Caenorhabditis elegans: one gene and its partners. The protein of the gene in region 2 purifies or fractionates together with the protein of the main gene of each other region. This does not show direct contact. Each region holds a gene or a part of one and is shown on either strand. Other genes may lie near its edges.

What was found. Proteins that work in one complex are often made in the same cells at the same time.
Region 1: the proteins of ucr-1 (region 2) and atp-5 fractionate together in Caenorhabditis elegans (co-fractionation; one large-scale study listed by BioGRID). This does not show direct contact.
Region 3: the proteins of ucr-1 (region 2) and F58F12.1 fractionate together in Caenorhabditis elegans (co-fractionation; one large-scale study listed by BioGRID). This does not show direct contact.

What each region holds. Positions count from the first base shown.
Region 1 is NC_003283.11:11,122,244-11,125,612, reverse strand, and holds atp-5 (ATP synthase subunit d, mitochondrial), read left to right. Parts: upstream 1-1,745; 5' UTR 1,746-1,747; coding exon 1,748-1,802; intron 1,803-1,889; coding exon 1,890-2,200; intron 2,201-2,245; coding exon 2,246-2,419; intron 2,420-2,463; coding exon 2,464-2,499; 3' UTR 2,500-2,712; downstream 2,713-3,369. Other genes in the region: strt-7 (Phosphatidylcholine transfer protein), read right to left, coding at 212-264, 311-349; lmtr-3 (Late endosomal/lysosomal adaptor and MAPK and MTOR activator 5), read right to left, coding at 755-999, 1,047-1,139, 1,204-1,303; mboa-2 (O-acyltransferase), read left to right, coding at 3,139-3,159, 3,205-3,317, 3,366-3,369.
Region 2 is NC_003281.10:5,590,065-5,594,880, forward strand, and holds ucr-1 (Cytochrome b-c1 complex subunit 1, mitochondrial), read left to right. Parts: upstream 1-2,093; coding exon 2,094-2,147; intron 2,148-2,289; coding exon 2,290-2,415; intron 2,416-2,464; coding exon 2,465-2,681; intron 2,682-2,730; coding exon 2,731-2,930; intron 2,931-2,974; coding exon 2,975-3,217; intron 3,218-3,266; coding exon 3,267-3,324; intron 3,325-3,375; coding exon 3,376-3,493; intron 3,494-3,545; coding exon 3,546-3,756; intron 3,757-3,806; coding exon 3,807-3,936; intron 3,937-4,002; coding exon 4,003-4,067; 3' UTR 4,068-4,261; downstream 4,262-4,816. Other genes in the region: Pre-mRNA-splicing factor ATP-dependent RNA helicase ddx-15, read right to left, coding at 1-1,387, 1,435-1,531, 1,587-1,642.
Region 3 is NC_003280.10:6,381,798-6,385,349, reverse strand, and holds F58F12.1 (ATP synthase subunit delta, mitochondrial), read right to left. Parts: upstream 1,706-3,552; 5' UTR 1,698-1,705; coding exon 1,578-1,697; intron 1,532-1,577; coding exon 1,399-1,531; intron 1,352-1,398; coding exon 1,155-1,351; intron 935-1,154; coding exon 893-934; 3' UTR 658-892; downstream 1-657. UniProt on the Caenorhabditis elegans protein: Mitochondrial membrane ATP synthase (F(1)F(0) ATP synthase or Complex V) produces ATP from ADP in the presence of a proton gradient across the membrane which is generated by electron transport complexes of the respiratory chain.

The DNA of each region.
Region 1 (3,369 bases), on a different chromosome or scaffold from region 2:
TTCATATTTTACAAATCTTCTTAAGCAAAATATGTTTTAATGGTTTTCAATGATTTTTTCTAAAAGTTCAAAATAAATCGAAAATCGACTTTTTTTGGGTTTTATGGTCACAAATTCCAATTTGTAGTTCTTGGTCCAAAATCAAAATCTGTTTTTTTGTTTTTTGGTAAGACTTTTTTGGTCCTACTTCACTCCATAATAGTTGACTTACGCTTTCGTCTTGAATCGTGACCAATTTTGACGGAAGTTTCGATACAGTGCAACCTAAACGTATTATAATTGAACACACTTCAATCAAAATATTGTTTACCTGTTTAAACAAAAAACTGCTCCAATTTCTGTTCAGCATATCTTTGTTTGATAAGACTTACTTTATTGCATTCGAGTAAATCTAAAAGAAATGATTGAAAAATGATTTTGATCAGTACGGTCAGTGAAAAAAAAACGATCAGAGTGATTGATCTATGCTATAGTCAGTTCACGTTAGAGATGTATAAAATAGATAGTTTTTGGCAGAAACCAACGAGAAAACAGGCATGTTCTGTAACCACGGATCTTTCAATTTAATTTTATTCTTGATGAGAATCAATAGAAAACTGGGAAGGTTTTTACAGGAAATACGGTTATTGGGTATGATAATTTGAAAACAAGAAAAGTTAGATTGGTTTTTTAAGATTGGCATGAACTTGAAAAGCTGAGTAAAGATATCGAATCATGGAATCACAGGAAAATGAGAGCAGCCACCACATAATTATTAGTCGAAATCTGGGGGAGGTGCAGCTGCAGAAGGGTACGATGGTGGTGGTAAAAGAGCATCTCCATCAATTGGTGGGCAAAGTGACATCATATGACTGCCGATGGGAAATAATTTCTCACGCAAAGAGAGCATGGCGCCAGTGTTCGTGTTGGTTCCAGCGTGAACAATGAAATAATACTTGTCAATAGAATGAACAGCAATTTGGTGGGACTCGTACAATGCAAAGGTTGTTTGATGACCTCCTAAAACATAACTGAGTAGAAATAAAAATGAGAAGTCAATAACTAACCCATGTCGAGTTTGTGAATTTGAGGGATTGTTGTCACGTGACTGACAATCAGCTGTTGCCTGAATCTAGAATTATCCAATGTCGATGGAAGACCTGAAAAATGGTTATATTTTTAAAGTTTATATTAATTATTGGTTTTATTGATGAAAATACTTACCGATATTCAGAATGAGACCTCCATCGTGATCAGTGATGAAGATTGCGCAGACCCCCTCATAGGTAAGCATAAGCTCTTCGAGCTCTTGTTGGACGTTCATCATTTTACTGAAACAATGTCTTTTTTGTTTTTTTTTTTAACTACAGATACCACTAAAATAATCAGCAACATAAGGAAAATTCTTGAATTGATAAAATAAGAGTAAAAATCTGAAATCGGTTTTGGTGGCCGAGTTTTGTCCCGAGGGCCGATAAAAATGGCCGAGGAACCCGAGAAAACCGCGCCGCACTTTGCGTTTTCACGGGCGATAGACTCCACCCTTTTGAACAGAAAATACTATTTTTTGTGCTTTTCAGCTGTTTTAGCTTATTTTTCAGTTCATTCCGTTACTTAAAAATTGAAAACAACTCAAAATAGTTATTCTATGTTTCTTTGTTTGTGAACGATTCAATTTTCCTGCTAATTAAGCATATTTACTTTTTATTTTCAAAAATCGTTTTCCTGTTAATCTAAATAAGGTTAAAACATCACAATTTTTATAGGTATGTCTGGAGCCGCTAAGAGGGTAGCGACGTCTTCCGTGAACTGGTCGAAGCTCGGTAAGTTGTTTAAGTCACAAGTTACGGTATTTTACGTATGTAATAAATAACTTCTCCACAATTTAGTGTTTTAACTTTTAATTTCAGCCGAGCGTTTGGTCCCGGAACACGCCGCAGAACTCACCCGCGTGAAGGGAGTCAGTGGAACTTTCCAATCCGCTGTCAGCCAGCTCCCGGCCGATCTTCCCAAGATCGACTTTGCTGCTTTGAAGAAGGCCCTCCCGGCTCATTCGGCAGTTCTCGATTCTCTTCAAAAGCAGTATGAATCTGTAAAGATCCCATACGGAGAGGTTCCAGCCGAGTATTTGAAGGAAGTAGACCAATGGGTTGATTACAACAACGCCCGTATTAAGCTTCATGAGGTCAAGGTCGCTGATGGACTTCAGGAGGCCAAGAAGGTTATTACTTTTATTTCGAAAAGATTTTTAATATTCTTTTTCCAGGTGGAGGAAAAGTGGGCCAAGGCTCCACCAGTTGAACATTTCGATCGTCAGCATTTCGTCGAGTATTTCCCAGCTCATTTCTATGATCTTCGCTACCAGAACAGAATTCCTGATCCATGCAACATCGGACTCAACGAGACTCCAGAAATTGAGAACAGATTCAAGGACTACAAGGTGGAGAAATTTACCAAATTATAGTCATATTTATTAATTTTCAGGTTCTTCGACGTGCCGACAAGGTTGACGACCATTAAACGATTTATCATGATGTACCGTTCAGTAGACAACTCTCGTTCTTCCTTATCGCTCTCCTACCATTTTTAAGACCATTTTGATTTGTTTTGTAGCCGTTTGTTTTATAATTTCGTCGAATTTTTTTATGTGCCTGGGAGCTTATGCAGTCGATACCCCCTTCTTCAGATTATGTATTTCATAAGAGTGATGGCAAGATAAAGAACTTTCGCATGTTTCCTTTATATTATATGAGAATTTCTTTGCAATTCGCGCGAAAAGAATCTGTTGGCATCATTGATTACCTTCGATGATCGGATTGAAGATATCAAAACAAGTTTTTTCTTTTCATGTTAAAACCAACTAATGAAGTTGAACGAATATTTCCATAGTTTCAATTAATGTCAGTGTATTATGTACATTGAATTCGGATTCCATGTAAAGATCAAGAATTGGCGTGAAGTGCACTATTGTTCTAAATAAGTGATAGATCACATTTAATCAAGAGGCGCCAGACGCGTTGTCTCTTATCTTGATTCGATAAATATGAAACAAACAGACGGAGGCACGACAGGCCTGACTTGTTATTCTTTTCCGAAATTTTTTTGCAGTTTCTTGATTCTTCTACATTTAAGAATTTCAGGGTTACCTAAGTATTTCTGATGCAAATGCGTCAACAAACGGTTAGTTTTATTATTTTCTAAAGTTTTTTTAAAAACTAAATTCAGGGACGACGGCGGCGTCAGCCTTCGGAAACATCTAATGGTTCTTTGGCTTCCAGTAGACGCTCCTCATTTGCACAAAATGGTAATTCGTCAAGGAAAAGTTCAGAAATGAGAGGGTATAGAAAAAAGCTTTAAACTTGTGTGAATAACTATTTCATTTTTGGACCT
Region 2 (4,816 bases):
GAGGATCAAGCGGGAACTCAGCCATCAGACTTCCTAGTTCAGTGAGCTCTCCATCGTCGTTGATCGCCTGAAGATAGTTTAACAGTTCCAGCGCTCTCATCAATGTCTCTGGTGCGGGAGGATCCATGAAATCGAAGTGCACAAGATCTTCGGTTCCGAGCTTCTTGAGCTGCAGCACAACAGATCCGAGATTCGACCGAAGAATTTCAGGATATGTTTGATCTTGCATTTCTGATCCGTAAGCCGTTTCGGTGTAAAGCCGGAAACATTTTCCTGGCTTTGTTCTTCCGGCGCGTCCAGCTCTTTGCATAGCAGAAGCTTTCGAAATGGGACAAACAAGCAGCGACTCGACACGAATTCTTGGATTGTACACTTTTTGCTTCGAGAATCCAGGATCGATAACAAAGACAACGCCATCAATAGTCAATGATGTCTCAGCGATATTTGTAGAGATGACACACTTTCTGCTGATTGCTCCATTCGGTCGATTTGGTGGTGCTGGTTCGAAGATTCTCTGCTGTGCTGCTGGGGGAAGTGTAGAGTACAACGGAATGCAGCTGAGTGCTCCAGCATCTGCTCCCAAGGCTTGAATCTCACGATCTATTCTTTTGCAAGCTTCTTCGATCTCTTCTTGACCAGTGAGGAACAGTAAAATGTCACCTTCAACCTCCTCGACCATATGAATTTGGATTACAGTTCTGATCGCGGCTTCTAGATAATCTTTCTCCGCATTTGGAGTGAAGAAGATCTCAACAGGGAATGTTCTTCCGGGAACACTGAGCAACGGGCAATCCTCGAAATATCTTTGAAACTTTCCTGCATCCAATGTAGCGGACATGATTACGACCTTGATATCAGCTCGATTTCTCACGATTTCCTTGATCAGTCCCATAAGAATATCTGTGGCGAGTGTTCTTTCGTGAGCCTCGTCGAGAATAAGGACTTTGTACTTATCGAGGAGCGGGCTGTTCATTGCTTCTCGCAGCAACATACCGTCTGTACAGTATTTGAGAACAGTTCGTTCGCTGATGCAGTCTTCGAAACGAATACTGTATCCCACTTCTTGTCCCAAAACTACGTCCATTTCCTCAGCAACTCTTGTCGCAACGCTCATCGCAGCGACCCGTCTAGGCTGTGTGCAAGCCACCAATCTCGCTTGACCGGGTGGTTGTCCTTGTTGCTGCTGCTTCATGAACTCGACGGCCCACTGTGGGATTTGCGTGGTCTTTCCGGATCCCGTTTCTCCGACAAGAGTGATGCACTGGTTGTTCCGGAGCAGCTCCATAAACTTTTCCTTATATTCCCATACTGGCAATTGACTTCTTTTCTCCCAAATTGCCCAATATCGGTTACTAAATGGCTGGTTGTTGTATGGATTGATTTGGATCTGTAAATTTGGAGATGAGAAACAAAAATTCGTTTACTAAAAAATACCTTCATATTTCCAACTGCCCCAATCTGTCTTTTCCGGTCGGGGGAGGAGCGTCTGTGTGGCGATCGGGAGCGGGATCGGGATCTGCGGTTAGGAGATCTGAAAATAAATTATTATTATTATATTGAACTGGGGAAGCAACAATTTTACTTACCTTCTTCTGTCTCCGCGTCCGCTGCCATCTAAATCCAATCGGTGTCTCGAAGACATCGCAAGTTTCTCCTTCAATAGGAAAATTAGAGTTTCAAGTGGCTTTATAAAGCGTTATACGAAAATATTAGGTATTTCGAAAAGCTACGCGCAGGATAAATGGATTAAATGTATGACAAATTAAGAAAACTAGTTGAAAAAGGAGAAAATCAGCAAATATAGAGATATTGGGAACAAAAGACAGAATTTCGCAGAATATATTCGGAATAAGTATGGAGCGATTTACGGGTGCGCCTTTAAACTTTCGGTGGGTCTCGAAGCGATTCCGCTGTCTGCGTCTCTGCACTGCTGGGCGGCTTGATGGTTTTAGTTGTTTTCAGCTTCTTTTCGAGTTTCAGATATATTTTTTCAAGTTTTTCAATTTAAAATAATGTTCTCTGAATTTTTATCTATCGATTAATATCCTATTTATATATTTTTATTTTCAGAGAACAGGGGAAAACTTGAGAGAATGGCTCTCAGACTCGCCGTCAGCTCTGCTTTGCGTCCGGCTCTCAATAGCCAGGTAATTTTCTTGTGAGATTGCTAAAAGAGAAATAAAAACTCTTAATTGAAAATAAAATTGAAAGTTGTATGCCCACAGGTCGCATGGAGAACGTAACAACGATGATAATGTAGAAAATCTAATTAAATTAATTAATTTTCAGGTTCGCAATGCTTCATCAGCTGTCTCCGTGAAGGACGTGCTTGCCAGCGCTCCACAAGCTGAAGTTACCACCTTGAAGAATGGCTTCCGTGTTGTCACCGAAGATAATGGATCCGCCACCGCTACCGTAATTTTGCCCACTAGTTTTCTAAAATTTCTTTTGTTTTAAATTGTAGGTGGGAGTCTGGATCGAGACCGGATCTCGTTTTGAGAACGAGAAGAACAACGGTGTCGCACATTTCCTCGAGCGATTGATCCACAAGGGAACTGGAAAGAGAGCATCTGCTGCTCTCGAATCCGAGCTTAATGCTATCGGAGCAAAACTCAACTCGTTCACTGAGCGTGACCAAACCGCAGTTTTTGTCCAAGCTGGAGCTCAAGATGTTGAGAAAGGTAAATATTTGTAACTTATAAAATTGTGTTAATTTTCCAAAATTTTCAGTTGTCGATATCCTCGCCGATGTTCTCCGCAACAGCAAGCTTGAGGCCTCAACCATCGATACCGAAAGAGTTAATCTTCTCAAAGAGCTCGAAGCTTCCGATGACTATCATCAGCTTGTCCTCTTCGATATGCTCCACGCTGCCGGATTCCAAGGCACCCCACTCGCTCTCAGCGTTCTCGGAACCAGTGAGAGCATTCCAGTAAGTATTTATTTGGGTTTACATAAAGTTGATTATTTTTTCAGAATATCTCTGCTCAACAATTGAAGGAGTGGCAAGAGGATCATTACAGACCAGTGCGCATGGTTCTGTCCGCTGTCGGAGGAGGAGTTTCCAATGTTTCAAGCCTCGCCGATAAATATTTCGGAGACTTGAGCAACGAATACCCACGAAAGGTTCCACAGGTCGATGGAACACGATTCACCGGATCTGAATACAGATACCGCAACGATAATGTCCCACACATGTATGCTGCTTTCGCTGTTGAGGTACAAATAATAAATGTGTGTTCAGTCTTTCATTTTACTTCATTTTTAGGGTGTTGGATATGCCCACAAAGATGCTCTCGCTCTTCAAATTGCCAATCAATTCATTGGTAAGTTGGCTTTTGTGTGAATTTTTCAATTCAAACCGTAATTTTGATGAGTTTTAGGCCAATGGGATGTGACCCACGCTACATCCAGAACAGCTGCTTCCAGACTTGTCCAAAAAATCGGACACGACCACGGAGTCCATAACCTCCAGCATTTCAACATCAACTACAAGTAAGTATCTTTTTTTGCAAGCTTATTTAAATTTTTATTTTCTTTTTTTCAGAGACACTGGATTGTTCGGAATCTACTTTGTTGCTGATGCTCACGACTTGAACGACACCAGCGGAATCATGAAGTCTGTTGCTCACGAATGGAAGCATTTGGCCTCTGCTGCCACAGAAGAAGAAGTCGCCATGGCCAAGAACCAATTCAGAACCAACTTGTACCAGAACCTCGAGACCAACACACAAAAGGCTGGATTTAACGCTAAGGAGGTTTGTTACTCTGCAGAAAATGCTATGGATAGTTATTTCATTATTTTCAGCTTCTTTACACCGGAAATCTCAGACAGTTGTCAGAACTTGAAGCTCAAATTCAAAAGGTTGACGCTGGAGCTGTCCGCGAGGCTATTTCAAGACATGTGTACGATCGTGATCTTGCTGCTGTCGGAGTTGGTGAGTAGTTTTCCACTTGCTGTTGTTTTTACATTATGAGAATTGCAAACAATTTCTCTTTTCTAGGTCGCACAGAAGCCTTCCCCAACTACGCCCTTACTCGCGCTGGTATGTCGTGGTGGAGAATGTAAGCAGTGAACGATGACGTCTTCCTCATCTCGGATTCCCTATGTACTTTTCGCTGTTCGTTCACCGTCTCTCTCTCTCTCTATCTGTTGTCAGATACACTTTTTTAGAAAACTTTTTGCTGTTCATTTATTTTCTTTTTCCAAAAATTAATTTTAATTTAGAGTAGCGTTATTTGTTTGTACGGTTCGGAGTAAAATGAATGAATTGACGAATTGTGCCAGAAAATGTATATCTGCTCGATTATTTTCTGCAGAATTATAATATCTGAATGATTTCCTGATGAGATTGTCTGCCCATCAAATCAGCGCCCTCAATTTTCCCCCGATGCAAAAAAAAAAACACAACAAGACCACTCCCAATTGGACGGAAAGATATCTGCGTCTCCGACCGATCCATTGCATCTCTTGTCCACCGGTTGACTGGCCTTGACCACGTTCGCACACTTATTGTCAGCCTCACCCGAGGCTATCCGCTTACTGAACCCCACTTTACGCGAAACTTTCTGTATATAGGTGACTGGCGTTAAATAATAATAGCATCGTTCCATTTTACAGCTAATTTCTTACCTGAAAGTTTTCGAATCTTGAAAAAAAAACTAACTGTCATTTCAAGTAGTAATTAGTAATTCTTTATTTCAATAAAAATCAGCGAAAATGATCCAAAGTCTAGAATTTTAACAGGAAACAGTAAAATTGTAGAATACTGAATTCCCACTTCTCCTCGAGAAGTACACGAGCTGCGTAAATCGACA
Region 3 (3,552 bases), on a different chromosome or scaffold from region 2:
ACGAAGAATTTTATTGAGTGTGGCGACGGATCTATAAGATTATGTGACATTGGTATTTGGAATAGGCTAAACATTTTTAGAATACTTTTTATTTGAAGTTCTTAGAAACCAAATCAATTTTGCGAAGGTTTGAATAAATAAAGCTCCAATTTTAATAAAAGAAGTTTGATATTCAAACTAATATTAGCTATTTACTAAAAATGGTGGAAAATTGGTGAATAATTATTTTGATTCAGAAAAGTGTTCATATGATTTTTGAAGTTTGTTGTCTATCCTCCCATCGTGTCTGTAAATGGCATTTAAAGTGGGTTTGTCGATAAAAAAGACAATTCCAATTTGTATCTCAACTTTCATCACTTTGAAAAAGCCGAATCCTCCTTGGGTTTCCTCTTCAAATGTTGCAGATTCTTCTGAATGGCATCATCACTTACGATTTTTTTCGTTCAATTTCGCTTTTTGAACAACCATTTTCGATTAGCGCATGAATTGAATCGAACCCGAGGTTTCCGTTTTTTGGTAAACATAAGGAAATACTAATTCTATTTCATTTTAGGGTACGTATTGCTGTAGATTGTAATTGTTTTAAACTCATGGAATTGGTATTCCAGTTTACATACATTTTCAGAATTTTCTCTTGTTTGATATAATTACTTGGATGAAGGATCGAATGTTCATTTCTACTATAAATATCACTAAATCAGAAAATTGGAAAAATAAAAGTCAAAAACTAAAAGTCTCGAAATTTATTGGAAACGATGGAACAATGAAAACAAAAAAAGGGAGGGCCGTACATAATATCCTATAAGCAGCATCGAGAGAAATTGACGATGTGCCTAGGATCAAATTAAAAAGGAATTTACCAAAGTTAAAGGGTCTACTCTCAACATACTCCTTATTGCTGGTTCGTGGCGGCCTTGATCAATGCTTCAGCAACCTGAAAAATTCCCTTGTTTTGAAACAAAACTTAAAGACATATTCATTTCAGAGAACTACTTTTATGACCCTCAACTTTATGTCCTGGTCTCAGTTTTAGTATCGAAGCACAGAATCATTTTGATAATAAAAATATTACGAAATGCTTAACTTTGCTGAAACCAAACGATATTCGTTTCTTGTATTTTTTTTTGGTTTTTAAAACTTTTTCGAACACTTACTTCAGCGCGAATTTGAGCTTCAGCACGAGCAACCTCGCTTCCTTCTCCGGAGGCTCTTTGGGCAGCATCAAGCTCGGCGCGGGCAGCAGACTCATCAATTTCTTCAACTTTCAGGACCTCCTCAGCAAGAACTTGGCATGATCCATCGATGTTCACGGAGAGGGTTCCCGAAGAGACGAAAAGGCGTTGAACTGTTCCTGAAAAATTCTTTGGTGATAATACAATTTATTTTTGCAAAATAAACCTTCATTTGTGGTGACAGAGACAACTCCTGGTTTCAAAACTCCAATGGTTGGGACGTGATTGGCAAGAACACCAACCATACCGGCCAAAGTTGGCACATCAACCTGCTTGACGACAGCATTGCTGAAGACAGCCTGTAAATTGATTTTCAAATAATGTTTTCAAATAATATTTACTCACGGTGTCTGGGGAGGCGAAAGTGAGACGAAGCTCCTCTGGGTTGGCGTTGGCAGCTGGAGCGGCAGCGGCGTATCCGCGCTTGGCAACAACCGAGAATCTTTGGATAGTACGAGCCAACATCTTACCCTCTGAAATGATAACATTGTTTGATTGATTTTTAGAAGGTCAATATGTGTATTAAGAATTATAAATGAAAAAATCGGAGGAATAGATTGTATTTGGGGAACAAACAATAGTAAAAATCGTAGACATATAGTCGAATACTTTTTTCAATTTTTAATAACGAAAATTAACTGAAAAAACTTCCCAAAACAGTTGAAAACAGAGATTTTTTGTTAAAAAAAGGTGAATAAAAATCGAGATCGCCCGTCGTCCAACGGAGCGTGTTTGCATCCCCTAATGGCTAGTCCGCGGCCATCGGGAAAAACTAGGCCATCTTGGCGAAGGTTAAAAAATGCCTGAAGATTTAATGAAACGTATGTTAAATATGAAACAGCGAATGTAATTGGAGATTTTCAACTAAGAAGCGTAGAATTTTTGATATTTATTGAAATGTAGCTAATTGGAATAATTTTTGAAATTATAGAACTATTACAATAGAGAAAACATATTTTTTAAATAAACTTTATTTGAAGACGTATCTAAACAGCAATAGAGTACACTATTGAAGCTACTGATTGAAAAAATCTTAACCATTAAAGTAGATTGCTCCTTTCTCGAATTGTACGCAGGGAAGAATATATGGAAATTTTTGAAAATTGTATACATGATTTGTAGGTTTCACTTAACTTACTATATTATTCACTACATTGCGTAGCATTTCGATACACTTTGCAAAATACGACTCATTTGAACATTTGAATAAGCCACGTGACTTTTTACGTGTTTCCTTCACCTGAAGCAGAACATGTGTGTTGGTGCGTTTTCTGCTGAATTGACTGAAACTTATCAAATATTTGAAGTTTGTTGCAACTGCGTGTCATTTCATAGTAATAGTAAAGAAATGTGATAATCCGGTTATCAATTGAGTAGAAACATGCGGGAAATGTATGATTTATGGTTCTTCTCAGTTTTCAGTTTTTATAAGTGATTGCAAAATACAGTACATACTGTAGATGTTATTGAAAGTTTGGCTTCTGGACAGAGAGGTCGCATGCTCATCAAGTGGATACCGGGAAACAGTAATAATATATCATCCCTCATTCTGCCCAACGAAAATTTATTTTAAACTACATAATAACCTTTTTGTGCAGTGAGTAAGTAGATCGACAACATTTTGATATCTCTAAAATAAAAAGAAGCTTCAAAATCATGAAACCGTGGAGAAAAAGTTTGCAACTGAAGATAAAAGATCATCATGACTAACTTTTGTGAACTTTCTGTTTAGGCTTGTGTCCGGAACTAAATAAATTCACCTGAAATCACGAATTCGCCATTAGATATTTAACATTCTATTAGAATCCTATTAAAGAAACACACACAGTTGTTTGGTCATTGTAACTAGACACATAGTCAATGATAAAGTTTGTGGTTAGGGTTAACACTCCTAATGCAGGTTATCATGTGAAAATATTACTGTAGCTACTTTTAAAGTTTGTGCATGCAGAGAAGTTAGGGATTGGATTTTTAAGACCTGCCTTTTAAAAACTATGCATCCAAAACAACAGATAATTCCGGTTTGGAGTGAGCAGCCATTCTTCTACAAGTTTCGGAGAGAGAGACGCAACCTTTAGGTAGGTAAAAAATTTTCTCAATACTATTGTAAGCATTCCACTTGTAATAAATTTCACCTAAATTGCTGATTAGGGTGAAAAATTATCAGCCTTTCTGTGGTACTGTAACTGTAAATGTTACGTTTTCAGTAAACTCAAGAGTTGTATTTTATTTCAGGATCTGCCGGAAGTTTTGAGTTTTCTAACTGTAAAAAGCCTACAAATTTCTGTGAATCAAGCTTGTCCCAGCTGATTTCTTTTAG